Anolis sagrei: one gene and its partners. The protein of the gene in region 3 interacts with the protein of the main gene of each other region in a pairwise test. Links are inferred from orthologs where the notes say so. Each region holds a gene or a part of one and is shown on either strand. Other genes may lie near its edges.

Region 1 (7,015 bases), on a different chromosome or scaffold from region 3:
TGAGACGTGGCCACCCCCAGCTCCTTCAATGTCAAGTCAGTCACTTCAAGGATACCATCCATTCATCTTGCCCTTGGCTGGCTCCTCTTCCCTTTTCATTCTATTTTCCCCAGAATCATTGTCTTCTCTAAGCTTTCCTGTCTTCTCATTATGTGGCCAAAGTACTTTATCTTTGCCTCTACTATCCTTCCCTCCAATGAGCAGCCAGGCATTATTTCAAAGTGGTGTCATCTGCCTAAATAATAATAATAAACTTTATTTATACCCCGCCACCGTCTCCCCCAACGGGGACTCGGAGCAGCTTACATGGGGGCAAGCCCGAACAACAAATTAAAATACAAAATTACAATAAGATAAACAACATAACATTAAAGTATAAACATCAAAGCATATAAACAATATACATAGAACATAAAAACCGAACATAAGGACAAAGAGCAGGCCGCATGTACATAAAATGTACATAAAATCCCACATTATCTGAGTGTGGATAAGCCGGTTCAAAGCAGAGATTGTGGGATTTTCATATAATCCAGTTTAAAGCAGAAAACCTGGGATCAGATCCTGGGATATGGGGCCTGTTTGGAAGGTCCCCCAGATAACCCAGTTCCAAGTAGATATTGTGGATTATCTGCCTTGATCTTCTGGTTTACATGGCTGTGTGGAAGGACTTTTAGATGGAGAATAAATTCCCAGATGGCTTTCCTGGAAACTACTACAGAATTTAGGGCAGGAAATTAATTGTTTTTAATGTATTTTCGAAGGCTTTCATGGCCGGAATCACTGGGTTGTTGTAGGTTTTTGCGGGCTATATGGCCATGTTCTAGTGGCCTTCTCTCCTGACGTTTCGCCTGCATCTATGGAAAGCATGGTTGAAGGTTTTCATGGCCAGAATCACTGGGTTGTTGTAGGTTTTTTCGGGCTGTATGGCCATGGTCTAGAGGCATTCGCTCCTGATGTTTCGCCTGCACTTTGGCAAGCATCCTCAGAGGTAGTGAGGTCTGTTGGAACTAGGCAAAAGGGTTTATATATCTGTGGCATGACAAGGAGGCCCCTCGAGTGCTGAACGAGTGCCTGGCCGCTGTGGCTATCTGGATGAGGAAGAACAAGCTGAAGATCAATCCCGACAAGACAGAGGTCCTCCTGGTCAATCGTAAACCGGATCGGGGTATAGGGTGGCAACCTGTGCTGGATGGGGTTGCACTCCCCCTGAAATCACAGGTCCGCAGCTTGGGAGTTCTTCTGGATTCATCACTTACGCTTGAGGCTCAGGCGTCGGCGGTGTCCGGGAGGGCTTTCGCACAGTTAAGACTGGTGCGCCAGCTGCGACCGTACCTCGCGAAGGCTGATTTGGCCGGGGTGGTCCATGCCTTAGTCACCTCTAGATTGGATTACTGTAATGCGCTCTATGTGGGGCTGCCCTTGAAAACGGCTCGGAAATTCCAACTGGTTCAACGGGGGGCGGCCAGGATGTTAACTGGTGCTCCTTACAGAGAGGTCAACCCTCCTGTTCAAGGAGCTCCATTGGCTGCCATTTACCTACCGAACCCAATTCAAGGTGCAGGTATTAACCTACAAAGCCCTAAACGGTTTGGGACCTGCCTACCTTCGTGACCGCATCTCCGTTTATGAACCCACACGCTCCCTTCGGTCATCTGGAGAGGCCCTGCTTGCGATCCCACCTTGGCGTTTGGTGGGGACGAGGGACAGGGCCTTTTCTGTGGTTGCCCCCCGACTTTGGAACGACCTCCCCAAAGACATTAGACTAGCACCCACGTTGGCAGTCTTTAGGAAGAATTTGAAGACCTGGCTATTCCGATGTGCCTTTCCAGAATAGGATGACCCAGCACTTTGTCCCAGAAGCACTTTACTAGAGTTTAAGACTCTCTGCACATGGCACTTGCCCAGAATCTCAATATACCTCCTGTCACACCCAGCACTTTTTTAACCTGTACCCATCACTGGCCCGGCCATGGTTTTTATTGTGTAATAGTGTAATGTCTTGCTATTGCTTATGTTTTTAATTTGCTTTGTTTTGTATTGTTTTGTGTTTTACTGCTGTTGTGTTAAGGCCTTGGCCTTTGTAAGCCGCATCGAGTCCCTCGGGAGATGCTAGCGGGGTACAAATAAAGTTTAATAATAATAATAATAAAGGGTGAGACAAAGGACTCCTCTCTGCTAGAGCTAGGTGTGAATGTTTCAACTGACCACCTTGATTAGCATACAATGGCCTGACTGCGCCTGGGGCAAACCTTTGTTGAGAGGTAATTAGATGTCCTTGTTTGTTTCCCCTCTGTTGTTGTGCTGTTGCAATTTTAGAGTTTTTTGAATACCGATAGCCAGATTTTGTTCATTTTCATGGTTTCCCCCTTTCTGTTGAAATTGTCCACATGCTTATGTATTTCAATGGCTTCTCTGCGTAGTCTGACATGGTGGTTGTGAGAGTGGTCCAGCATTTCTGTGTTCTCAGATAATATGCTGTGTCCAGGCTGGTTTATCAGGTGCTCTGCTATGGCTGACTTCTCTGGTTGGAATAGTCTGCAGTGCCTTTCATGTTCCTTGATTCGTGTTTGGGCAATGCTGCGTTTGGTGGTCCCTATGTAGACTTGTCCACAGCTGCATGGTACACGGTAGACCCCTGCAGAAGCGAGAGGATCCTTCTTGTCCTTTGCTGAACGTAGCATTTGTTGGATTTTCTTGGTGGGTCTGTAGATAGTTTGTATGTTGTGTTTCCTCATCCGCTTCCCTATGCGGTCAGTGGTTCCCTTGATGTAGGGCAAGAACACTTTTTCTCTGGGAGGATCTTCATCTTTACTCTCGTGGCTAGTTCTCGGTCTTGCAGCTCTTCTGATGTCTGAGGTAGAGTATTCATTGGCCTGTAGAGCCCAGTTGAGATGGTTCAGTTCATCTTGGAGGAGGTGGGGTTCGCAGATTCTTTTTGCACGGTCTTGCAGCTCTTCTGATGTCTGAGGTGGACTCTCCATTGGCCTGGAGAGCCCAGTTGAGGTGGTTCAGTTCATCTTGGAGGTTTTTTTTTTTTATCGTGTCATCCGCAACCAGAACATTGTGTTACATTTCTAACAGAACAAAACAAACAAACAGATTTTTTTTAAAAAAACACAAATTTTGCAAACTTGGTAGCTGATTAAATGTCCTTTGACCAGTATCTGGCCACTTGGAGTGCCTCTGGTGTTGCTGCAAGAAGGTGCTCCATCGTGCATGTGGCTGGGCTCAGGGTGCATTGCAGCAGGTGGTCAGTGGTTTGCTGTTCTCCGCACTCGCATGCCGTGGATTCCACCCTGTAGCCCCATTTCTTAAGATTGGTTCTGCATCTCATGGTGCCGGAGTGCAGTCTGTTCAGCGCCTTCCAAGTCGCCCAGTCTTCTGTGTGCCCAGGGGGGAGTCTCTCATCTGGTATCACCCACGGATTGAGGTGCTGGGTTTGAGCCTGCCACTTTTGAACTCTCGCTTGCTGAGCTGTTCCAGCGAGTGTCTCTGTAGATCTAAGAAAACTATTTCTTGATTTAAGTTGGAGGAGATGGGGTTCGCAGATTCTTTTTGCACGGTCTGTCAGGGCTTTAATGGTGCTTCTTTTTTGACTTGGGTCAAAAAAGCATCCTCAGAGGTAGGGCTGTGTGGGAGGGTGCTCAGATAACCCAGGCCCTTTCCACACAATGGAATAAAATCCCACATTTTCTACTTTGAACTGGAATATATGACAGTGTGGAAGGGCCCTGAATCAGAACAAAGAGGATGCTTGCCATATAGCCCGAAAAAACCTACAACAACCCAATTGTTTTTAACATTTTCCCCCTCACAATTCCTCAAGCCAGTCCTCCTTCCTACATTCCTGCTTGCCAGGATGCTTTCGGCGCACGCGCACAACCCTTTCCGAAGGCGACCCTCTAGAAAAGGGCGGGGCGAATTCCCGAAGCAAAAAAAAAACCAGCAAGCAAAAGGCATGATGAGCAACAACCAGGAAGCTTCATCTCCCGAATCATGTGTCACTCTGTCATTTTAGACGCTCTATGCTCCGCCTCCCTCCCTCCCTCCCACGACTCGGGGGCCCTGAGAGGCGTCGCGTGCGGCGCGCGTGCGCAGTGGCGGGGCCCTTCTGCCGTTCGTCACTGCGCGTCCTCCCCTTTCGCGCGCACGCCGCCGCCGCCGCTCCAGCCCAGAGCCGCCTCTGCCGCCGTCGCCATGGCTGACAACGCCGCTGCCGCTGCCGCTGCTGCCGCCGCCGCCGCCGCTGGCCTAGAAAACCACCGCCTGAAGAGCTTCAAGAATAAAGGCCGCGACGTGGAGGTCTGTGCCGGCTGGGCGGTGGGGGCCTCGCCGTCGTTGCTCGGCTCGCAGGGGGAGTGGCTGGGCGGCTCGGGCCTAGGCCGGCGGGAGGGAGGGAGGGGTAGATAGAGGGTCCCTCCCTTCCTCCCTCCCTCCCTCCCTCCCTCGGATAGGGCGTCGGTGGGCCCTTCCTGAGGCAGGGAGGGAGACCGCTTTGTGTCTGCGCCCCTTCCCTTGGGCCCAGAGGGAGGGAAAGAGGGAGGCACTGCGGGAGAGGAGGCTGGAAGCGGGTCAGCACCCCTCCCTGCCCATCGCCCTCGCCTTTCCCCTTTCATACTCTGCCAGGGCAGTGGGAGGATTCACAATGGTGGTGGGCCTTGCTATTCTTGGCCAGGCTCCTTTCCCCGCTCCATTCTGACAGGCGGTTGGTTGACATCTCCACGGAATCCCCTCCCGTGGAGCCCAATGACTGGCCCCTATTGTTCTCCAGTCGTGAAATTTTTCATGGAGGCCTTGTATTTCTTTTTATTCATTGATCTCGGGTTTTTTAAAACTCCGTCTTTCTTCTGACTCAGGGCCCTTCCACACTGTCATATATTCCAGTTCAACGCAGAAAATGTGGGATTTTATTCCATTGTGTGGAAAGGGCCTGGGTTATCTGAGCACCCTCCCACACAGCCCTATAGCCCAGAATATCAAGGCAGAAAATCCCACATTATCTGCGTTGAACTGAGTTATTTGAGAGCCCTTCAACACAACCGTATAACCCCGAATATCAAGGCAGAAAATCCCATAATAGGAGCCCCCGGTGGCGCAGTGGGTTAAACCCCTGTGCCGGCAGGACCGAAGACCGACAGGTCGCAGGTTCGAATCTGGGGAGAGGCGGATGAGCTCCCTCTATCAGCTCCAGCTCCTTGTGCGGGGACATGAGAGAAGCCTCCCGTAAGGATGATAAAAACATCAAATCATCCGGGTGTCCCCTGGGCAACGTCCTTGCAGATGGCCAATTCTCTCACACCAGATGCGACTTGCAGTTTCTCAATTCGCTCCTGACACGACAAAAAAATAATAATCCCATAATATATGCTTTAAACTAGGTTATTTGGGGGCCCTTCAACACAGCCATATAACCCCAAATATCAAGGCAGAAAATCCCATAATATATGCTTTGAATTTATTTTAGGGCCCTTCCACACAGCCATATAACCCCAAATATCAGGGCAGAAAATCCCATAATATATGTTTTGAACTAGGTTATTTGAGCACCCTCCCACACAGCCCTATAGTCCAGAATATCAAGGCAGAAATCCCACATTACCTGCTTTCAACTGGGTTATCTAGAGCCCCTTCCACAGAGCTGAATAAAATTCCACATTTTCTGCTTTGAACTGGAATATATTTTAGTGTGGACTCAGATAACCCAGTTCAAAGCATATATTTTGGGATTTTCTGCCTTGATATTCTGGGATATAGGGCTGTGTGGAAAAGTTCCCAGGGCCTTCCATGCAGCCCTATATCCCATAATATCAAGGCAGAAAATCTCAAAATATATGCTTTGAACTGGGTTATCTGAGTCCATGCTAAATATATATTCCAGTTCAAAGCAGGAATTGTGGGATTTTCTGCCTTGATATTCTGGGATATAGGGCTGTGTGGAAGAGTTCCCAGGGCTCTTCCACACAGCCCTATAACTCAGAATATCAAGGCAGGAATATCAGTGTGGGATTTTCTGCCTTGATATTCTGGGATATAGGGCTGTTTGGAAGGACTCTGTGTTACTAGGGCCTCTTCCACAGAGCTGAATAAAACTCCACATTTTCTGCATTGAATTGGAATATATTTTAGTATGGACTCAGATAACTGGGGCCCCTTCCACACAGCTGAATAAAATCCCACATTATTTGCTTTGATCTGGAATATATGGCAGTGTGGACTCAGATAACCCAGTCCAGAGCAGATATTGTGGGATTTTCTGCCTTGATAGTCTGGGATATAGGGCTGTGTGGAAGGACCCTGGGAACTTTTCCACACAGCCCTATAACCCAGACTATCAAGGCAGAAAATCCCACAATATCTGCTTTGAACTGTGTTTTCTGAGGGCCCTTCCACACAGACTTATATCCCAGAATATCCAGGCAGAAAATCCCACAATATACTTTTGACAACAGATGATAGAGCTGGATATTGGGGGCAAGGATTATGAAGCAACCATCCCCAGCAGGGACCCACTACTAACTACAAATGCTAGAATGAGGAAAACCGTTTTTTCCCCTATTTTCCAAATTTTGTAAAATTAGATTTTTGAGACTCAAGACTGAAAGCAGAGTGTGAAAGGAGTGGCCAATGGTGGGACCACCAGAGATGAGAAGTATCTAAGTCTTACTGTCACTTTTGTTTCATGAAAAACACAGACAGTTGGTCAGTTGTAATTAAATAATGATTGTGTACCATCATACAGGAATTGAATAATAGAAATTCCAAAGATATGAGTGACTTCATTAGGTTGTGATTGTAAATAAAATTGGAATGGGCCACACTGATTACTTTTTTGAACAGACATGAATAAACCTCGGATGTTTGTTTTCTAGGGGCCCTTCCAACAGTCCTGGGTTATGTGCATCCACACTGCCATTTATTCCAGTTCAAAGCAGATATTGTGGGATTTTCTGCCTTGATACTCTGGAAAATTAGGGGCAAATTCTTACATATTTCAATCAGGACCATGGTCAAA
Region 2 (7,839 bases), on a different chromosome or scaffold from region 3:
CAAGTATTTTGGATAAGGACTACTCAGTCTGTGTTGTTATTGTTTTTGTTGGTGTTGTTCTAGTCATTTTTGGATTCAGTAGAACAAGATGGTAATACCGGTTTTGTTTCTTAGGCCCCATCTACACTACCATGTAATACAGTTTGGAATTACATTATATGGTCAGTACAGATTCATATATGCAGTCAAACTCCATTATATGAGTCTACAGCAGAGCTTTCCAAACTGTGTGTCGCGACACGTTGGTGTGTCGGCTGTAGCGTGTGTTTTTGCGAGCGTAATGCAAAATGACCAAAATCTCAGAAATGTATGTTATTATCTTTCAAATCATATATATTTCAATGTTTACACGAAAGGCTTTTGTGAGATATGTGTGTCCCCATACATTTCGTTATTACAATTTAATATGTGTCCGCATCTCTTATAAGGGGTTGGTTTAACCTTCGATTTGCTAGTAGATTTACGGTGTTGCAAAACGATTCATGTCTACAATAATGGGTCACCTACATTAAATGTTTGGAAAGCTCTAAATGTTTGGAACGTGTCCACATAATGCAGTGCAGATTCAGCCTTAGTATTTTGGCTACAGTCCTACTGGCATGGACTGCAAAGAGGCAGCAATAACAACCATGCTGAAAAGCCCAAATATAAGACCACACTGCATGAATGATACGCATTAGAAAACCTAAAATGATTTTTAAAGGAGCAAGAATCCTAACCGAGCATCATTGTGTGATAACAACAAAAACCTGATTGAGTTGCTGACCGGTAATTAAAAACAGAAGGGACTATACGGAGGGCAGGCAGGCATTAGAAAAGGAAGCGGGCTGCATGCCAGATATTATTAATAAAGCCGAACATGTGGCCAGAAGGAGTGGCGCTACGTGCTGGATGCTTAAAATATAATACGTGGTTCTCATCACGAAGACGGCTGTGGAAACCACAACAAAGGCATTGTAGATTATAGCAGATCAGAACCCACATTGGCACCAAATAAGAGTTTCACCAAACTGTTTTATAGCATCACTGGGAAGGATCCGGTAGCCCAACAACACCTCCAATCTCGAGACAAAAGAGACATTTTAAAAAACTCCTGAGCTGTGATATAATATGAAAGTGCGGAGCACGGGAAGCAGAAAAACCTTGCCGTTTCCTGTCTCGCCCAGTGCTTTTAGTGAGAAAACAAGAAGAGAAATGCAGCTTTAAAAAAACACCTGTTACATCCAGTTTGGGTTTGCAAATCATCTCAATGCTTTTATTTATTTATTTGATGGTTTTTTCCCCCCACATCAGCCTGGACTCTAAAAAGGGAGCTGCTTGGGGCTTTGTCATCGTGATTGATAGAAAAATGACATTTTTATTCCAGATTATCACAGATGGTTGTGCCTAGCATTTGTAGCTGGCAGTCAACATAAGCAGCTTAGTTATACAGGGAGTGCAAGAACTGAGAGGATGTGTCTCAGGGTGCATCTGCACCATAGAATTAATGCAGATTGAGACCAACTTGACTGCCATGGCTCAGTGTTATGGAATCCTGGGGGTTGTAGTTTCATACAGACTTTAGCCTTCTTTGCCAAAGAGTGCTGGTCTCTCACCAAAAGTACAAATGCCATGATTCCATAGTACAGAATCATGACAGTTCAAGTGGTGTCAAAGTGCACCAATTCTGCAATGTAGATGCACTCTCAGACTCACATTTTGGAAATTAGTCTGAAATAAGAAGAGATTTTAAGAGCACAGTTGATCCTCAAATATCTGCTGGGCTTTGTCTGTGGATATCAAAATCCACAGATGCTCAGGTCCCATAATATAGAAAGATGTTGCCATGGCAGCTAGAGTGAAATCATTTGGCTAAAGTTATACAGTGTGAAGGGCCCTTTGCACTTAAAAGGCAGAGTAACACTTTATGAGATCATACAAAGACCTTTTGTCTTTGTATGATCAAATTCAATGCTGCTCTGAATGTAATTTAACAGAAATAAAATCTTTTATTACACCACTGCACTAGGCAAGGCCTGACCAAAGCTGCACACCATATATACTTACTTAGGCGATCTCTCGTGGCCCTCCAAGTGTTGTGTCTTGGTGGTGGGTCCGTTGTAGCTGGCTGTGGAGCCCTATTCCTGATTCATCAAGTTCCTGGTGGAAGGTGATCCCGGTCAGGGTTGGCTTGAGCACCTTCCTCTTGGCACGTTTCTCTTTTTCACCCACCATTCATGCCTCTTTGAATTTCACAACACTGCTAGGCCCAGCTGACTTCCAGCTAGAGCGCTCAAGGGCCAGGGGCTTCCCAGTTCTCAGTGTCTATGCCTCAGTTTTTAAGGTTAGTGTTAAGCCCATCTTTAAATCTCTTTTCCTGTCCACCAACTTCCCATTTTCCGTTCTTGAGTTGGGAATATAGTAACTGCTTTGAGAGACTATAATCAGGCATTTGGACAACATGGTCAGTCCAGCAGAGTTGGTGGCGTAGTAGCATCACTTCAATGCTGGTGGTCTTTGCTTCTTCCAGTACGTTGACATTTGTCTATTTGTCTTCCTAAGAAATTTGCAGGATGGAATTGTTACAGGAGTTGAGTGTGACGTCTGTAGACAGTCCATGTTTCGCAGGCGTATAGCAGGGTTGGGAGGACAATGGCTTTATAAACAAGCACTGTGGTCTCCCTACGGATGTCCCGGTCCTCAAACACTCTGTGCTTCATTTGGAGGAATGTTGCACTTGCAGAGCTCAGGTGGTGTTGTATTTCAGTGTCAATATTCTCGTATGCTTCTGCAAAAGAGTGACTTATAGGTCTTCTGAGTGAGCATAGATTATGTTATCATCAGCATATTGGAGTGTTGTATTTCAGTATCAGTGTTGACTTTGTGGGGAAGTGGCTGCCAAGGTAGTGGAAATAGTCAACATTTTCTAACGTTACACTATTAAGCTGAATTTCTGGCATCGAAGAGGGACTGGCTGGTGACTACTGGAAGAGCAATTTGGTTTTCTCGATGTTCAGTGAGCCGAGCTTCTCGTATGCTTCTGCAAAGGTGTTTAGAGTGGCATGTAGATCTTCTTCTGAATGTGCACAGATTATGTTATCATCAGCATACTGGAGTTCTATAACATGTTGTAACCTTGGTTTTCGCTTTCAGTCTGCTGAGGTTGAATAGCTTGCCATCTGTCCGATAGATGATTTCCACTCCAGTGGGAGGCTTCCCATCAACAAGATGAAGTATCAAAGCAATGAAGATGGAAAATCAAGTGGGGGCAATAACACATCCCTGTTTCCCACCTGATGCCACCTTAAATGGGTCAGTGAGAGGCCAAACTTTTTGTATACTTCTGCAAAGGTATTTAGAGTGGCTTCCAGGTCTTCTTCTGAATCTACACAGACTATATTATCATTGGCATACTGGAGTTCTATAACATGTTGTTGTAACATTGGTTTTGGCTTTCAGTCTGCTGAGTGTAAATAGCTTGCCATCTGTACAATAGATGATTTCCACTCTGGTGGGAAGCTTCCCATCAACAAGATGAAGTATCAAAGCAATGAAGATGGAAAATAAGGTTGGGGCAATAACACATCCCTGTTTCACACCTGATTCCACCTCAGATGAGTCAATGAGAAGCCAAGCTTCTCGTATACTTCTGCAAAGGTATTTAGAGTGGCTTGTAAGTCTTCTTCTGAATGTGCACAGGCTACGTTATCATCAGCATATTCGAGTTCTATAACAGATGTTATATTTGTGTGTATATACATACATACATTCACACAACATATGGAGCCAACTGTACTTATATATATCTTCTTCTTCTTCGGCAATCCCTTGTTGTCCGAGTAGGATAGTCTTCCAGGATCGGTGTACTGGTGGGTCCGTGGGTGACTGTGGAGCCCTATTCTTGATCTGCATCTTCTCCCGCAGTGAGGGAATCGGTTTCCAGGTGGAAGGCGATCCCGGTCGGGGTTGGTTTGATGCACCTTCCTCTTGGCACGTTTCTCTTTCGCCCTCCATTTGTGCCTCTTCAAATTCTACAGCACTAATGGTCACGGTTGACCTCCAGCTGGAGCGCTCAAGGGCCAGGGCTTCCCAGTTTTTAGTTTTTAAGGTTGGCTTTGAGCCCATCTTTAAATCAATGGGACCAACTGTATATATATTTAAGTACAGTTCACCCCATGTTCCCACAGATCCTATATCCACGGATTCAACCATCCACAAGCAGTGTGACTCCAGAGACCCAACTCAGCCATGGCTGACCTTAGACAAGTCACACTCTCACAGCTTGAAAGGCCAGTAAAGGTTAGCCCCTTCTAGACGAATCTTGCCAAGGATTTGGAGACTAGGAGGGCCCAGAAGGGCCACTCATGAAGGAGAGTGGAGGAGCCAGAGAGTGGCTTGTGTGTTGTGAGGAGAGAGAGAGAGAGAGGGCGTGCGGAGGGGGGAGCGCACCCCCCTGGGAAGAGCCTGCCTCGCTGTTGCTGGGGCGAGGGCGGTGATGTCAGCGGCTGCCTCTGCGCTCGCGCTGGCTCTTCCCCCAGCCACGCCCCCCTCCCTCCCTCCCCGGGCATTCCCTGGCTGTTGATACAGAACAGCCCCGCCCTTTCCTTTGCTCAGGCTCCAGCTTGGCTCCGCCCCCTTTCCCTCCCTCGAGCGACCTTTCCCCTAGTTTCCAAAGGGGTGGCTCGGCTCCTCTGCCGCCGCCGCCGCCGTGCCCACGCGGGGCCTTTCCTGCTCGGAGCCGAGCTGCACGAGGCCATCACGCCGCCCGCGAGAGCCGATTGGCCGGCCGAAAGGCAGCTCGGGTCGTGATTGGCTGCGGCGCGCCACACTCTTCCCCCGTTCGCTCTGTCCTCCTCCGCCCCTTCCAGCTGCTCGTGCTGGATGGAGTGTTTTGGTGGGTTTCCTTCTGTGTTTTGGCGGCGCGCCTCCCTGCAAGGAAGGAGGGAAGGAGGAGGGAAGGGAAAGAGGCGGGGAAGCAGCAGGGAGAGCGCTCCGGCTGGCTTTGTCACTGCTGCTGCTGCTGCTGCTGCTGCTGCTGGGGCTGCTCCTCACTGCAGGAGCCCTTCTTCACCATGCACACCGAGGAGATGGGGGACAGCCCCGCGGTGAGTGCCGGCTTCGAGTCGGATCAGATCCGCATCAAGGGGAGCGGCGGGTGGGATGGGATGGATGATGATCCAGAACAACTCCTGCCTAGTTAGGTTTTTAATTATATATAAATGCATCACACTCTCTCTCTGTGTACAGAGTGTCCCAAAAATGTAAACATCCTTAAAATGCTTAATCTGAAATTATTATTATTCTATATTTACTTGCAATTTGATGAACATTGGTAAACCAGGAGATCTAATGCAGGCTAGTTAGATCTGTATCTATTTATCTACAATGTTGTTATTATAATATTTGCAATTTATTTTCACAAAGTATACACCCATAACCGTTTATCATCCCAGTATGATAATAATAGTAATCTTATTTGTTCGTTATCTCAATAATGTACATACCTTTTAACAGTTTATAATGCTGGAATTATTGTTGTTGTTGTGATTGTTTTAATTAAGTTATTTCAAAAAGGCATACACCTTTAACTGCTTATAATTCTGGAATTATTATTGTTATTATTATGACTGCTTTATTTGCAAGTTATTTGTACCTTTAACTGCTTATAATTCTAGAATTGTTGTTGTTATTATTATTATAACTTTTATTTCCAAGTTATTTGCACCTTTAACTACTTATAATTCTGTACCTTTAACTGCTTATAATTCTAGAATTATTATTGTTGTTATTATTATGACTTTTATTTGCAAGTTATTTGTAACCTTAACTGCTTATAATTCTGTACCTTTAACTGCTTATAATTCTGGAATTGTTGTTTTTATTATTGTTATTAATACATACCTCAAAAGGTATACACCCATAACAAACTACTACTACTATTATTATTATTATTATTATTATTATTTGAGGTTTATTTGAAAAGTGTAGAGTCCAATAAGAGCATATAAATCTGGAATTATTATTATTATTGTTATTATTATTATTATTATTGTTATGTGCAATCTTAAAAATGCATGTATCCATATCAGTTTTATCATTCTGGAGTTATTAATATAATTTGCAAATAATTTCAAGAAATGTATACCTCCTCAACAGTTTATAATTCTAGTATTTCCTTGTTTATTTTGCACCCTCCCCCTCCCCTATGTATACATCCTTATCAGATTCCAATAGCAGTGAAGTGTCAGGATTAAGGAGTCCAATAGGAGGGATGTGCCATGAAATCAGAAGAGAAACTTTCAAGTGAGGTCTGCCACTCTTCTGTGTTTGGACAATGAGGGCAGTGGCACTGCTGCACAGGGGCCATTTCAACACTTTACATTGTAGTTTAAGGCGGGGTTTGTCACTCTGATCAAACCATAATGATAATATTTAACAACAACAATAACAACATATTCAGCTCTATTTCCCAAAGGGGACTCAGAGCAGATACTCTTCTTGAATTCAATATAAATTAATTTACTTAGCCTTCCGATAACTAGTATGGCTATTATTATGATGAAGTGTGTGTGTGTGTGTAATATTTCAAGGGAGGTGGCACCCTATGTACCTTGCAAGTGTTACTTTGTGGGTGGGTTTGCCAGGTGGTGTGCCTGAGAGATGCCTTAGTGTTGCATGATGCCAGGGCTGTTTCCCAACGCTTTTAAGGCAGGTAATCTGTTTTGACAAAGCCCATTGCTTTCAAGGTGGTCTGCAATGGGCTTATTTCTAACTTACCCAGTGTTTGTGTGGAAAACACTTCAGAATCCCTTTCTTTGAATAGATGACTGGCAGTTGTGTGTGGGATGCTGGTGGGAGGGGACATTGATTCTCCTTTTAGTGTTGTTGTTTTTGTTGTTGTTGTTATATTTATTTGTACCCTGCTTTTCCCTTTTGATCGACACTCAGAGTGGCTCATAACCTTATAGACAAACTACAGCATACAAATATGGAAACGGAATTAAACATACCATTGTTTAAAAAGGCCAGTGGAAATCTGGGTGGCCACAGGAGGTGCATCCAGAAAAATCATGGTCAGGATTCTATGTCACGCTCATAGATGCATAACCTACGAATCCATATAAATAATCTTTACATAGGGTGCATTACAGATGTAAACCGAATGCAGTTTTACACCACTTTAATTGCTATGGCTCAATTAGAGAAAATCCTGGGAGCTCCCAGCACTCTTTGTCAGAGAAGGCTAAAGCCTTTTTTAAAACTACAACTCCTGGGATTCCATAGCAATGAAATCACAGCAGTTGAAACTGTATTAATTCTATAGATCCACCCTTGTAAGGAAGTGGTACTTATAGTTTGAGGGAATTGCCAGTAAGTGAGGCGGGTGGACTCTGCCTTCCCTTGGTACCTCCTGCCTCGCCCGTTGACTAGTCACCACTGACGCATGCAGTATATTGTGCTTTCGGGTGAGTAATCTCTCTGCGCCGTGGTCCACTGTTGCCTGGTGATCTAGCACAAAGTAATGAGTGCGGGAGAAGCTGATTGCTTCCTTGCTTGGTTTATGTGTGTGTGCAAAACCTCAAAATTGGGCGTGTTATTTCTCCCCCCTCCCCACTCCAGATTATCAATGTTCAGCCTTGCCCAAAGATTGCATGCCATCTCACACACTTCTTTGCTTTCCAGCCAGGCCAGTGTTGTAGACCCCAGCACCACGCCCCCCAACATTGGCTCAGCCAGAGACCACCACCCACTGGCTCACAGGGCTATTTTGATGCATGACCTCGACCCACTCCTTCCCTCCGCCCCACTCCGGCTATATTTGGAGTGGGTGGCTGCTCTGGCTCCCATCCGGTGGGAAGG
Region 3 (7,599 bases):
GGGTAAACAGTATTCCTTGTTGTTTCTATGTCAGTGTTGATGTGGAGATTGTCTGGTTTGCCCACTCTGGAACATGCAACCTATCATTGTCCTTCTTTAGGGGCCCCTTTCAAATCTATGATACTATATCTGTGTATTTGTGTGTGAATCATATCTATCTATCTGATCTATGGCTGGATGGCTCTTTGTCAGGAGGACTTTGATTACGTTTTCTTGCCCTGATGAAGGGAATTGGATTGGATGGCCTTAAGTATTTTCTGATGGTCATGGGGGTTCTGTGTGGGAAGTTTGGTCCAATTCTGTCATTCATGGGGTACAGAATGCTCTTTGATTGTAAGTGAACTGTGAATCCCAGTGACTACAAATCCCAAATGTCAAAGTCTATTTTCCCCAAATGCCATCTGTGTTCATATTTGGGCATATTGAGTGCTTGTGCCAAGTTTGATCCAGATCCATCATTGTTTGAGTCCACTACAACTCCCAAACTTAAGGACAATGCCCACCAAACCCTTCTAGTGTTTTCTGTTGGTCATGGGAGTTCTGTGTGCCAAGTTTGGTTCAATTCCATCATTGATGGAGTTCAGAGTGCTCTTTGATTGTAGGTGAACTATAAATCCCAGCAACTACAACTCCCAAATGACAAAATCATAATTTTTTGAGTGATGGTCATTCCTTGTGTTGTGAGACATTTTGTTGCCAAATTTGGTGTTATTTCATTCATTGGTTCTTTTGTTTTTAAGGTACTCATTATGCACAGAGCATTTATATATATATATAGATTATTTTCTGTTTATCCCAGATTATCTGGCAATAGGGATTTATATAATCCAGTTTAAATCAGAAAACCCGGGATCAGATCCTAGGATGTGGGGCCTGTCTGGAAGTGCCCCTGCTTTAAATACTGATGCGGTTTGGGGGCAATGACAGAGGTGATGAGAATTGTAGTTTGCTCACATCCTGATGCATTTTCCAATGGGACCACTCATCAAATCCAAAACTAAACCAAGGACATTCTGTTATTTATCCTTACAAATCACCTCACCTTTTTGTGGGCCCGGGAGCGCATGACCCCCGGCCGCCCCACGTCGTGCCTGGTCTTCCGGCCCAGGATCTGGAACTTCTGCTTGTTCACCTTCACCTCGAAGGGGTTGCTCTGCGCCATGGCGTCGGTCTTGGCGGAGGCAGCAGCAGCAGCAAGAGTTCCCTTACGCTTAGCTTTCCCCATGGTTGCTCGCGTGGGGACTGGGCGCTCTGCGCTTCCGGAGGCTCACACGCGTGGCTTCCGCTGGAGGCCCCGCCCACCGGCCTCCTTCAGGGATGCTGGCACTTCCCCTGCCGAGGGAGGAGAAACCGGAAGCGCGCGAAGATAGGAACTGCGGCTGCGCGGACCCCTATTGACACTATCGGTGCTTCTGAGGGCCCTTCCACACAGCCCTCTATCCCAGAATATCAAGGCAGCAAATCCCACATTATCTGAGTGTGGACTCGCATAACCCAGTTCAAAGCAGATATAATGGGATTTTCAACCTTGATATTCTGGGATAGAGGGCTGTGTGGAAGGGCCCTGGGATGGGGAAGCAGTGCAAGAGGAGCCTGAGGGCCCTTTCACACAGACCTCTATCCCAGAATATCAAGGTAGAAAATCCCACAATGTTTGTTTTGAACTGGGTTATATGAGTCCACACATGGATAACGTGGGATTTTCTGCATTGATGGGATATAGGGCTGTGTGAAAGGGCCCTCAGAAGCCATGTGTTTATTTATTACAGACTAGCTGTCCCCTGCCACGCATTGCTGTGGCCCAGTCTGGTGATCTGGAAAATAAAGTAATGAGAAAGTGTTGGTTTCTAATATAAGTAATTCCTTTATTCTTGTGAATAAACAGTATTTCTTGTTTCTTTGTCAGTGTTGATGTGGAGAGTGTCTGGTTTGCCTACTCTGGAACATGCAACATATCATAGTCCTTCTTTAAGGGTCTCTTTCAAATCTATACTATATCTGTGTGTGTGTGTGTGTGTGTGTGAGAATCATATCTATCTATCTATATTTATGACTGGATGGCTCTTTGTTAGGAGAGCTCTGATTACATTTTCTTGCCCTGGTGAAGAGAGTTGGACCGGATGGCCTTAAGTATTTTCTGTTGGTCATGGGGGTTCTGTGTGGGAAGTTTGCCCAATTTCTATCGTTTGTGGGTTTCAGAATGCTCTTTAATTGTAGTGAACTAAAAGTCCCAGTAACTACAAATCCCAAATGTCAAGGACTATTTCCTCCGAACTCCATCTGTGTTCATATTTAGGCATATGGATTTTTTGTGCCAAGTTTGGTCCAGATCCATCATTGTTTGAGTCCACAGTGCTCTCTGGATGTGGGTGAACTATAATTCCCAAACTCAAGGTCAATGTCCACCAAACCTTTCCAGTTTCTTCTGTTGGTCATGGGAGCCCTGTGTGCTAAGCTTGGCCCAATTTCATAATTGGTGGAGTTCAGAATGCTCTTTGATTGTAGGTAAACTATAAATCCCAGCAACGACAATTCCCAAATGACAAAATCAATTTTTTTGAATGGAGAACATAAATTGGACTGTTAGGTGTCTTGTGTCCAAATTTGGTGTCAATTCCCCCAGTGGTTTTTGAGTTCTGATGGTACACGAACTAACATTACATTTTTATTTATATATAAATATTTCAATGCCACCTTTCAACAGGACTGACTCAAGGTGGCTCACATCATATTTAAAACATGCATACAAATAATTAAACACTAAACAAATATTAGATGTTCAATAATCCTTAAAAACGTATGTATTATTAAACATTAAAAGTTACACTCTAAAATTCCCCGCTCAGAGGGGATCTGCTGCATTTAGGGTGTTTATAGATATCTGCAGGAAAAAAAATGAAGCTCAAGGAGAAGCTGTGGCTTGGAGTGTTTTCCTTTTTTGGGGGTGGTGGGGGTGGTTGTGTGTTTTGAAATGCATTTATTATGTGCCAACTGTATTTCATCCTAACACAGACAGTACTCTTTCATAGCTTTGGTTGTTGTTGTTCATTCGTTCAGTCATCTCCAACTCTTTGTGACCTTATGGACCAGCCCACGCCAGAGCTCCCTGTCGGCTGTCACCACCCCCAGCTCCTTCAAGGTCAAGCCAGTCACTTCAAGGATGCCATCCATCCATCTTGCCCTTGGTCGGCCCCTCTTCCTTTTGCCTTCCACTTTCCCCAGCATCATTGTCTTCTCTAGGCTTTCCTGTCTCCTCATGATGTGGCCAAAGTACTTCAACTTTGTCTCTAGTATCTTTCCCTCCAATGAGCAGTCGGGCTTTATTTCCTGGAGGATGGACTGGTTGGATCTTCTCGCAGTCCAAGGCACTTTCAGCACTTTCCTCCAGCACCACAGTTCAAAAGCATCTCTCTTCCTTCACTCAGCCTTCCCTAAGGTCCAGCTCTCACATCCGTAGGTTACTACAGGGAATACCATGGCTTTGACTAGGCGGATCTTTGTTGCCAGTGTGATGTCTCTACTCTTTACTATTTTATCGAGACTGGAAATTGCTCTCCTCCCAAGAAGTAAGCGTCTTCTGATTTCCTGGCCACAGTCTGCATCTGCAGTAATCTTTGCACCTAGAAATACAAAGTCTGTCACGGCCTCCACGTTTTCTCCCTCTATTTCCCAGTTGTCAATCATTCTTGTTGCCATAATCTTGGTTTTTTTGATGTTTAGCTGCAACCCGGCTTTTGCGCTTTCTTCTTTCACCTTGATTAGAAGGCTCCTCAGCTCCTCCTCGCTTTCGGCCATTAGAGTGGTGTCATCTGCATTTCTGAGGTTGTTAATGTTTCTTCCAGCAATTTTCACCCCAGCTTTGCATTCATCCAGCCCCGCACATCGCATGATGTGTTCTGCATACAAGTTAAAAAGGTTGGGTGAGAGGATGCAGCCTTGCCGTACGCCTTTCCCAATCTGGAACCAGTCTGGTGTTCCGTGGTCAGTTCTGACTGTTGCGACTTGGTCCTTGTACAGATTCCTCAGGAGAGAGACAAGGTGGCTTGGGATGCCCATCCCACCAAGAACTTGCCACAGTTTATTATGATCCACACAGTTAAAGGCTTTAGAATAGTCAATGAAGCAGAAGTAGATGTTTTTCTGAAACTCCCTGCCTTTCTCCATTATCCAGCGGATATTGGCAATCTGGTCTCTCCTTCCTCTGCCTTTTCTAAACCCAGCTTGAACATCTGGCAACTCTCGCTCCATGTATTGCTGGAGTCTTCCTTGCAGGATCTTGAGCATTACCTTACTGGTATGAGAAATAAGGGCCACTGTACGGAAGTTGGAGCAGTCTTTCGCAATAGTGGGATTTTCTGCCTTGATATCCTGGGATATAGGGCTGTGTGGAAGGGCCCTCAGAATATCAAGGCAGCTAATCTGTAATACCTGCTTTGAACTGGGTTATCTGAGGCCCCTTCCATACAGCTGGCCAGGAGGCGGAGCGTATCCTCCTCTACTTGGCGCTGATTGGCGTTTGGCCTGCCTTTCAAGGGGAAGCCCGGAAGTGGCGAGGGGACAAGGACACGGCGAGGGGGCGTTCCGTCGCGGTGCCGCGGGGAATGACGGGAGCTTTCCAAGATGGCGTCGGTGCGCTGGAGGCGGGCTGAGGGCGCTTGCCTGCTCTGAGTTCCGAGGCCTGCTGTGCTGCCCTGAGCGGGAAGGCGCCGGAGGAGTGGGCTTCCTTCTCGGAGCCCTCCGAGTGTAGTCATGGCCACCATGGAGAAGCTGATGAAGGCCTTCGAGTCCCTCCGCTCCTTCCAGCAGCAGCAGAGCCCTGCCGCCATTCCAGCGGGCGCCTCAGCCGCTTCCTCGGCCGGAGTGGCCGCCGCCTCCGCCGCCGAGGAGCCCCCTCAGAGACCGTGAGTCCGGGCGGGGAGAGGCCAGGCTGGGCCTGTCTCTTTGCCTGTCTTCCTGTCTGTGGGGATTCCCCCGGAGACCGGGGCATTTGTCCTGAGGGGATGGAGCCTATGGAATCCCGCCTTTCTTCCAAAGATGGGACTCGAGGAAGCTTATGACAGAAAGCGACCTCGATCTAAAATCATGGGTAGCAAAAGCAGCCACACTCTCTTTCAGTCCCATGTTTGGATTAGCCTTGTGAATTGAATTCTTTCGATTCTTGTATTGTCGAAGGCTTTCAAGGCCGGAATCACTGAGGTCTCACTACCTCTGAGGATGCTTGCCATAGATGCAGGCGAAACGTCAGGAGAGAATGCCTCTAGACCATGGCCATACAGCCCGAAAAAACCTACAATAACCCACTTTCGATTCCTGCCGTGCAGGATCAGCCCACCAAAACCCCCTCAGCAAGTGCTTCCTTGTAACGGTTTTTTTTAAAAAAATTATTTATTAATTATAATTATAGTAATTATATAAATTAATTAATATATTCCCCCATTTGGGGATTCAAAGATTACTGCAACGCACTCTACATGGGGCTGCCTTTGAAGACAGTTCGGAAACTGCAGTTAGTCCAACGGGCGGCAGCCAGATTCCTAACAGGAGCTACATACAGGGAGCATACCACCCCCTTGTTGTGTCAGCTCCACTGGCTGCTTGTCCAATTCTGAGCTCAATTCAAAGTGCTGGTTTTTACCTATAAAGCTCTATACCAGTGGTTCTCAACCTGGAGTCCCCAGATGTTTTTGGCCTTCAACTCCCAGAAATCCTAACAGCTGGTAAACTGGCTGGGATTTCTGGGAGATGTAGGCCAAAAACATCTGGGGACCCCAGGTTGAGAACCACTGCTCTATACGATTCCGGCCCAGCTTACTTGTCCGAACACATCTGCCTCTACGTCCCACCTCATAACTTAAGATCATCCGGGGAGGCCCTGCTCTCGCTCCTGCCAACATCGCAAACGCGGCTGGCGGGGATGAGAGACTGGGCCTTCTCAGCTGTAGCCGCCCGCCTGTGGAACACGCTTCCAAATGAAATACAATCGACCCCATCCCTCCTGGTGTTCAGGAAGAAATTAAAATCTTGGTTTTGGGACCAGGCTGTCGGACAATAAACATAAAGCAGCACTTTGACTGGAAATGGATTGGCAAGACGATACGTATGACGATACGGTTTTATGGCTCTATCAGTGGGTTTGTGGACTGAGTATTTTTTTTTCATGACTTATGATAATTTGGTTATAATTAACTGCTATTGTTTTAACTCTGTATGTATTTATGGTTTTATACTGTGTTATTGATTGTGGCATCGAATTGCTGCCCTTGTTAGCTGCTCTGAGTCCCCCCTCGGGGGTTGAGAAGGGCGGGGTAAAAATGCTGAAAAATAAATAAAGTGGCCAACAACTAGGTATAAAACATACAAAGTACATTGGGATAATAAAAATAAACAGATTTTTTAAAAAAATGACAACTGAAACATAATAAAGCAGTTACACCATAACAGAATATGTTACAGATTAAAATACATTCAGCACTTTAGGTATAGTTAAAACTAAATACAGTGTTCCCTCACTTATTGCGGGAGTTACATTCCAGGACCTCCCGCAATAAGTGAAAAACCGCGATGTAGGGACACTATATTTATTTTAATATTTATACATTATTTTAGTAGTTATACACTATTTTACGTCTTTATAAACTTAAAATAAAGGAAAGGAAAGGAAGGAAAGGCCCTTCAAGGCTGGAGGGAGGGAGTACTGAGGAGGAAAAGTGTTTTGGAGGCCGCGGCAGCAAAACTTGCGAAACAGCGAAAATACCACAATATATATTTTAAATTAATATTTTTTGAAAACCGCAAAACAGCGCATCCGCTGAAAGCGAACCACGAAGTAGTGAGGGAACACTGTAAACATAAACCAAAGTAATTATCTGTTCTAATACCACTTGTCCATAAAGGTATTGCAGGAAAAAGATTCAGCTCAAATGCTACTATGGCGCCTATCACTCTTGTATTATTCTTCCTTGAAGGCCTGATTCCAGAGAAAAGTTTTTATCTGGCACCTGAAAGTTAGTGAAGGGGAGACCATTCTGATGTCTTTCGGGAGTTCCAGGGCCGTGCAGCAACTACCGAAAAGGCCCTGTCTTGTTCCCACCAACTGTATTTGCGAAGGTGGTGGGATTGGGAGAAGGACTTCTGTTGATCTCAGAGCTCATGCAGCTTCATAGAAGGAGATGCAGTCTTTTAAGTTGACTGGGCTTTAAAGCTTCTTTAAATTAAAGTGCTGTCATTGACTTCAGTCCTGCCCAGAAAGTACAGTGTGGCCATTGAAAGACCGAGGCCCCTTCCACACAGCTGCATGAAATCCAAATTGAACTGGACTTGGACAATCCAGTTCAAAGCAGATACTGTGGATTCTCTGCCTTGATATTCTGTGTTTTATGGCTGTGTGGAAGGGCTGTGAGTGATATAAAATAAAAATAATTTCTACAAACACATCTGTTTTTTTTAAAAACATAATTAGTGGATCTACAAAGGATACTCTATAACCTACCCAAAAAAAGAAAGAAAAAACAAAAAAACTATAACTTTTTCAATCTCTTCAGTCTTTCAGGCCTCTTCCACACAACTGTATAAAATCCCACATTATCTGCTTTCAACTGG
Region 4 (7,766 bases), on a different chromosome or scaffold from region 3:
GGTTTAAAAAAAATAAGGAAGGGGGGGGGGAGGACTGAGGGCAGAAGTGTGAGAGAGGCAAGAGAGATGCTCTAGGAACAAAAGGGATTTGTTCCCCACTTATAATTTTTTCCACACTTTCTTGGAACTTTCTTTGATAGGAAGCATAAAAGAAACTCACCCGGACACTTTTAAAAAGGCCATTTTATTTTATTTTTTATTTCATTTTTAAAGTTTAGAAACAGAAAAAGAATATATAAACTTTGGAATCTAATTCAAATCTTGGAGGAGAGAAAAACAGGAATCTGTTAAGATACAGAAACAGACACCAACAAGGAGGTAAAACAAACAACCCCAGCATGGAAAATGAAGGGGGGGGGGGGGGAATAAACCTAAAAGGTAGAGTATGTCTACAATCCTGTATGCACTTATTCGGGAGAGACTATTGCTTCCGAGTAAACATGATCAAAATCAGGAGACTGTGTCTACAGGCGGATCTGATGCAAAGAAAGAGCGAGATCTTACTTTTAAGTAGCTTTGCATACATCCTGCTTCTTGAATCTGTTCATGCTTACTCGGACTTTAAACTCCAGTGTATAGATCTGCTATCTCTTATGGAAGTAAGACTCGCTGGAAACAATGTGTCCTCATTTCCAGTTATTACCATCTCCCATAGCCGCATTGCTCTTTTTTCCATGAGCCCTAAAAGAATGATTAAGAGGATAATAATATGGATATATGTATTGTCGAAGGCTTTCATGGCCGGAATCACTGGGTTGTTGTAGGTTTTTTCGGGCTATATGGCCATGGTCTAGAGGCATTCTCTCCTGACGTTTCGCCTGCATCTATGGCAAGTATCCTCAGAGGTAGTGAGGTCTGTTGGAACTAGGAAAAAGGGTTTATATATTTGTGGAATGACCAGAGTGGGACAAAGGACTCTTGTCTGTTGGAGCTAGGTGTGAATGTTTCAACTGACCACCTTGATTAACATATAATGGACTGACAGTGCCTGGAGCAAACTTTTGTTGAGAGGTGAATAGATGTCCTTGTTTGTTTCCTCTCTGTTGTTGTGCTGCTGTAATTTTACGTCAGGAGAGAATGCCTCTAGACCATAGTCATATAGCCCTAAAAAGCCTACAACAACCCAATATGGATATAGTTTTATTTGTTTAGTTCACCCTTATGAATCAGGAAGTTTAAGCTACAATTATCCAGGATAGTCTCACCCTGCCAAAATAAACTGTCTACTGAGGCCTCTTCCACACAGCTGAATAAAATCCCACATTTTTTGCTTTGAACTGGAATGTATGGCACTGCGGACTCAGCTATTCCAATTCAACACAGATTATTCTGCCTTGATATTCTGGATTATATGGCTGTGTGGAAGGGCCCTGAGTCTCTGTTGTGGCTAATGGGAGTTAAAAGCCACAGAGGCCCCTTCCACACAGCTGAATAAAATCCCACATTATCTGCTTTGAACTGGAATATATGGCAGTGTGGACTCAGATAACCCAGTTCAAAGCAGATATTGTGGGATTTTCTGCCTCGATCTTCTGGGATATATGCCTGTGTGGAAGAGTCCTTAGTTCAATGAGGTTTACTCCCTATTAAATGTGCTTAAAAGTTATAGCTTCAGTTGGTAAATCTTTCATCCCTCCTCCTTATCTCTTCATTTGAATTCTATTAAGGTCCCCAATGGGCACTCTGCATCTCAAATCAAGCACTTGAAGGCTGCACTAAATTCAGTGGGAATTTGCTCAGCATATACTGAACAACACAAAGACATGTGGTCTACTCAGATGTAAGTCTCCCTGATTTCAGTGAGGCTAACTCCCAAGCAAGTGTGTATAAGACTGATGTTAGATATAAGATTTTGATAGTATATGTAAAAGAGTATAATTTTAACTAGTCATAGTGATGGCAACTGTATAGCATTGGTAGTAATAGTAAGTGGAGCAGAAAGAGTACTCATATTACTAAAATCAGAACTAATACTTTTTTGAAACATGAAACAGTCATGGCAAACACAAACTTGGGGAGAATGAGTTCCATACAACTATTACAATCCATAAAAACCTGATGGAAGGAGTAATATGGGTGTTTGTAGAAACAGTAGGGATACTTGCTTAATATTATTCCTAGTTGGTGAGTGTTTCTATTTTTCAGCATCTATCCTATAATTTCAATAAATAAATAAAATGCATGTTCTCTCTCTTTCTCCCTCCCTTAGTACTATTCCTGTCATGCCTGCATATCTTATAGATCCCAAGCTTCAACGTTCTCCTTCAATGGAGAATGTATAGAATGAACAAAATCAGGTGAGTTCTCAATAGGAATGACATTGTAAAGATAGTCTGAAATGTTCCACTTACACTAGGACTGGTCATCAAAAGAAAAGGTTTCCTCCATTTTCCCCTTCTTTTGGAGCAAACCACATTTCTCCTCCTCAGAATCTATCAATCAATCAACCAGCAAGCAAGCTGACAATTCCACATAGTATTTGTGCATGAAAAACCTTTTCAGGGTGAACTTGGCCCAAATATTTCATGGACTGATAAAAAGAGGCTAATCAAAACAGTAGATTTTTATGTGGTCACCTGAATAGAAATGAAGGTCATCTTTCAGGGCCCAGTTCTCAAAGTGAGGAGAAGTGGCAAAATTCTTCAGAAACATGCATGCTCAACTTGGGAACTGCTTAACTTGTTTAATGACTTTTTGGAAGTCTTGAGGGCTGCTCTCTTCTGCCCTTTAGCCATCAAAAGAAAGAAAGGCTGGTGGAGGACATCCTTTGGTGTGGGCTTGGAGAGAAGTAACCTTCCCCCCTCCTCCTGAAATAGGCAGTCCCAATTCTCCAGTCGTTTATATGTACCCTGTAGAATCGAATTTGTGTGAGCACCTCAATCACAAATTCGTCTCTAGGGGAGTATATGGACGATGCAGAGCTTTGTTAAATGTTCTCCTTTCTTGGGGTTCTTCTCCCAGATGTTGCAGTTAACAGGCTAATATTTGAGATTTCAGAGTGGTGAGCTTTGTTAAATGTTCTCCTTTCTTGGGGTTCTTCTCCCAGATGTTGCAGTTAACAGGCTAATATTTGAGATTTCAGTGTGCTGTGCTTAAAGATCTTGAAGAGCACATTCTTTGAACAAGAACACACGCTTTGAGGCAGGGTAAAGAGATTGGTCGGGAGGACCATCATACAGCCAGGTCTTGAATAAATAATTAGAATAACAGAGAAGGTAAAGTGTGCTCCTGATAATAAAATCCGGAATTGTGACTTCTCTCTTGCAAAGAAGGAGCAGCAGTCGCTGAAAAGGCAGCTCAGAGCTCACACAAGCCCTTGCCAGAGAAAGAAGGGAGGGAGGAAGAGAGGGAGAGAGAGAGACCTAACCATTTCAAGTGACTGATTTATGGCGTTTTACAGCCCCATAAAAACTGTTACAACCAGCCCAGAGCCTCCGACACCGCTGGCACATTTAGTCTAATAAATAAAACATAAACAGTTAACTTTATGTGTCACTTTTATTGTTATCAAGTAAAATATTGCAATGCCCTGCAAGCTATGATTTTCAACTATAATTGTTATCAAGCAGTACAAGGGATTAATCCGACTGTCGGTGCCCCATCTTCTTAATGTAAGCTATAGATAAAGCCTTTTAACTGCAATAACTGCACTCTTTAAAATGTTTGCTTCCCATCCCAGCTTGCTGAGCCTACCCAGAGGTCTGTTTATGTATCTTATGGGGGAACACAGGCACACTCAAGCAGGGCTGCTTCTGCCCATCATCCCTGACTCAAGATTGAAACCAGAGATTGTGAGCTGACTCTTCCTACTTCTGCAGGGATTTCTGGCTGGGAAGAAGAATAGAATATCATACCTCTTGTATGTGAATGGACACCCACCTTCCTTCCTTCTTTTCCTCCCTCATTTAGACTATATGTATGTGTGTTCTTTCCCACAACAATGCCTTGACATTGAGCAGGAGAAGATTGGTATAAAGCAAGCACCCAGCTACCAGTTTCCCAACAACAACACCTCCTTCTACTAGACTCCTCCACCTCTCCATCCCCTGGTTAGAAGAAGAGAAGGTTGGTGGCCTTGCCATCTGTCTGGAAGGAACTTTTCCTGCTTTTCATCTTCGCCATCCTCTCTTATGAAAACCCCATCAGACCTCCCTTAAGCAAGGGTTGATGAGCCTTTCTAGAGCACTCTCACTCCAAATGACGCAAAGATGATTTGCATACTCCCTTCCCCCACCTTCTCTTCTCCTCCCCCCCCCCCCCAGGTAACCTGCCTTCTTTGTCTCTCTGCCTGCAAACAATTGGATGACAGATGTTGAACTTCCTTTGAGTTTTTGAGTTTTGTGTATGTGTGTAGGTTGGGAGTGGGGGTGGGGCCAGATCTGCAGACAAGGATCCCAGCGGTGTCCTGGATGGGGGGGGGGGGGGAGGAGGAGGGGGCACATCTCTCCCCACAGCTTTTAAGGTGAAACAAGCAGAGCAAATTTGAGCATGCTGCAGTGTTTAAAAAATGGTTGTCTTTCCTGCTTAAGGCTGGCTTAGCTCTTGGTTGTCTACAAGAGAGGACTTGCTGTGCACCTAGAAAACAAGGGGTGGGGGTAGTTTGGGGGAAGAGATTAATCATATAGGAGGTACTCTTCCACACCATCTCTCTGTCAAATAAATGAATTTACTTCTATTAATATTCTGAGCATTGATACTACCTTTTGAAGACGAGGAGCACACACAGGACTGCCTGCCTGGCTGTAAGATCTGCCCCTTCCTCCCCCTCAACCTCTCTCTCTCTCTCTCTCTTTCCCTCTCTCTCTTTCTCTCTCACACACCCCTCTTTTGCTCTGAGGGGAAGGGGATCACACCAACAACAACAAGAACACAGGCACCCGCACCCTGGCGCGCGCTCACACACACACACACACAAATTGGATACATTTTGAATAAGCTTTTGGTTCCTTATCCGGGGACTCGCTCGGCTGGCGTGATTGGCGCAAATAGTCACATGGTGAAACTAACTTTACGGGGTCGCCAGCTAGTAGGAGGGTTTTATGGAGCAGAAAAACGACAAAGCGAGAAAAATTATTTTCCACTCCAGAAATTAATGATCATGAGCTCGTATTTGATGGACTCTAACTACATCGATCCGAAATTTCCTCCATGCGAAGAATATTCGCAAAATAATTACATCCCAGACCACAGTCCGGAATATTACAGCCGGACCAGGGAGCCCAGTTTCCAGCACCACCACCAGGAATTGTACCCTCCGCCACCTCCTCCTCCGCCACCGCCACCTCCTCCACCTCCTCCTCCTCCACCGCGACCCAGCTACCCCGAGCGCCAGTACAGCTGTGCCAGCCTCCAAGGTCCCGGCAACCCCTCCGTGCATCCGAGGGGCCATGGACCACCGCCTGGAGGCCACCACCTCCCCGAGAAGCCCCCGCAGCCGCAGCTCTGCGACCAAACGGCTCTTCCCAGCGCCGCCACCTCGCCATCCCCAGCTCCCCCAGCCTGCAACCAGCAAAACCCCGACCACCCCAGCAGCACGGCCTCTAAGCAGCCCATAGTCTACCCCTGGATGAAAAAAATCCACGTCAGTACGGGTAGGCAACTTTTGCTCCTCTCCTTCCCCTTTTCCTCTCTCCCTCTCTCTCCCTCTGCTTCTTTCCTTGTCCCTGCCTCAGTCTCTTCCTCCTCTCTCTCTCTCTCTCCCTCGCTGTCTGCCTCTCTCTCCCTCCATCACCTCCTTTGCCTTCAACGAGAGTCTTTGGGTTAGCACAATTGAGCGGGATTTACGACTCCGAGTGGGTAATTACACCCACCATAAATTTTATAGCCAAGCTAGTCTGGGCAGCCCGAGCCATGTGGTTCGTTCTGTTATGTATGTGTGAAACTCCAACGGCTTTGCGAGGGGTGCATAAATAATTCAGGCTCTTTGCAAGCCAGGGAAACCCCTTCTTAATCCGAGGGAAAGTCCTGGGTTCTTTATAACCCATTGAGCTGATGACTTCTTCTTCTTCTTCTCCTCCTCCTCCTCCCCCCTTTCTCTCTCTGTATTTCTCCTCCTCTCTTTCCCTTGAGCCACTGGAGATCTTTCTTCCTCTCGGTGTGTGCATCTAACCCGCTCCCCTTCCTTTCCCTTCAACCCTTCTTCCCTCCCTCCCTCCTTGGTTTATTCACGGTCCTCTTTGGTTTTTCCAGTGAACCCCAATTACAATGGAGGCGAGCCCAAGCGATCCAGGACTGCCTACACCAGACAGCAGGTCTTGGAATTAGAGAAAGAGTTCCACTACAATAGGTACCTGACCCGGCGGAGGCGGATCGAGATCGCCCATTCCTTGTGTCTCTCGGAGAGGCAGATCAAGATCTGGTTTCAGAACAGGCGGATGAAATGGAAAAAAGACCACCGGCTGCCCAATACCAAAGTGAGGTCCACAGCCCCGGCCAATTCCTCGGCCGGATCCCTCCCGGCGGCTCCTTCCAACGCGGTGGTGGTCAGCAGCGAAGACCACTCGCAAAGCTCATCTCAGGAAGCACGAGCAGAGGATATTACAAGGTTATAAACAAACAGAGGGGAAAAAAAACAAAACAAAACAAACAGAACCGGCAACAGCAGCAGCAGCAGCAAAAAGAACCACCTCCCCCTCATAAAAAATGACTCTGATTATTTATAGAATCTAATATATATATCTAATTCTATATATTTTGTTTCTCCCCCTTCTCTCTCTTTCTCTCTGTCTTTCTTGTTTCTTCCCCTTTAACCCCCCTTCTTCCCCTCCTTCGTAGTTTTCCGGTGCGTGTGTGTATATATATATCCCCATGAGCCAAGGAAAGGAGGAAAAAAATAAAAATAGAACCACAAACACACAAAAGAATGAGGTCTTTTGCCAGAGATCTCAAGCTTTAGGTGCATGTCTTTATTAGCATGAGAGGCCAGGTGAAATAATTGCTGTTTCTTTCTTTCTTTTCTTTTTTAAAGCGCCATTTTCAGGGTTTTATTTATTTTTTTAAAAGGAAGGGATGAAAGAATGGTGGGAGTGTTGATGAGTGTGTTGTGTGTGTGTGTGTATGTGTGTGCTGGGGTGGGGGAACCTAATGTTCTGTTTTCGATGAAAATGTGAAGCATATGCTAATAATTACACAGGCAAGGAAAGAATGCAGTTGTGTTGCTCTCTGTGCATTTACCAATGGAGAACAAAAAAGAGGACAGAGAAAAATGGATCATTGAGCGCTTTCTCTTCCCCTTCTTGCTTTTTTGTGTTGTTGTATAGACGTTGGGGAAAAGACCAAGGAAAGAAGGGCAGACAGCACAGAGGAGTAAGCAGGAAAGCGGAGAAACTTATGATTTATTTCAATGTGAGAAGCAAACCAGAGAAGAGGGAGGGAGGGCAAGAGAGAAAGTTGAAAGAGAAGTGTCAGTGGATATAGAATCTGTTTGGGTTTTTGTCGTGGTTCTTTCTCGTGTTTTTTATTTCCCCCCTTTTTTGGATATTTTTTTATTTTGGACTGATGATTTGACATGGTCATTGTAAACTTGCAATAAAAAAGAGTTTTAGTGTATATGTGAAAGTCCCCTTGTTCAATAATAAAAAACAAAACAAAAGCAACCAACAACCATTGAGTGTGACACAGATTGATTTTGGAATATCTGGTGAGTTCTTTCGCTTCTTTGCTTTCTGTTACATAGGCAAATGGGTCTGGAGGAGGGGGTTAATGCACCACATCAGCTCCCCCAGGAGGGATATTTTCCCTATTAAGATTCCCTTGCTTTAAAAAGA

What was found. The genes of interacting proteins can lie anywhere in the genome.
Region 1: the proteins of HTT (region 3) and KPNA3 interact in binary tests that used the Homo sapiens proteins (3 or more experiments, as listed by UniProt). The link is inferred for Anolis sagrei from reciprocal best matches to the Homo sapiens genes HTT and KPNA3.
Region 2: the proteins of HTT (region 3) and KLF11 interact in binary tests that used the Homo sapiens proteins (3 or more experiments, as listed by UniProt). The link is inferred for Anolis sagrei from reciprocal best matches to the Homo sapiens genes HTT and KLF11.
Region 4: the proteins of HTT (region 3) and HOXC4 interact in binary tests that used the Homo sapiens proteins (3 or more experiments, as listed by UniProt). The link is inferred for Anolis sagrei from reciprocal best matches to the Homo sapiens genes HTT and HOXC4.

The regions. Positions count from the first base shown.
Region 1 is NC_090021.1:149,583,182-149,590,196, forward strand, and holds the start of KPNA3 (importin subunit alpha-4), read left to right. Parts: upstream 1-3,997; 5' UTR 3,998-3,999; coding exon 4,000-4,305; intron 4,306-7,015. UniProt on the Homo sapiens protein: Functions in nuclear protein import as an adapter protein for nuclear receptor KPNB1. Binds specifically and directly to substrates containing either a simple or bipartite NLS motif.
Region 2 is NC_090021.1:130,476,285-130,484,123, reverse strand, and holds the start of KLF11 (Krueppel-like factor 11), read left to right. Parts: upstream 1-4,821; 5' UTR 4,822-5,051; coding exon 5,052-5,084; intron 5,085-7,839. UniProt on the Homo sapiens protein: Transcription factor. Activates the epsilon- and gamma-globin gene promoters and, to a much lower degree, the beta-globin gene and represses promoters containing SP1-like binding inhibiting cell growth.
Region 3 is NC_090025.1:105,052,093-105,059,691, forward strand, and holds the start of HTT (huntingtin), read left to right. Parts: upstream 1-4,579; 5' UTR 4,580-4,749; coding exon 4,750-4,901; intron 4,902-7,599. Other genes in the region: NOP14 (nucleolar protein 14), read right to left, coding at 1,043-1,225.
Region 4 is NC_090022.1:189,248,829-189,256,594, reverse strand, and holds HOXC4 (homeobox protein Hox-C4), read left to right. Parts: upstream 1-4,748; 5' UTR 4,749-4,993; coding exon 4,994-5,591; intron 5,592-6,189; coding exon 6,190-6,551; 3' UTR 6,552-7,602; downstream 7,603-7,766. UniProt on the Homo sapiens protein: Sequence-specific transcription factor which is part of a developmental regulatory system that provides cells with specific positional identities on the anterior-posterior axis.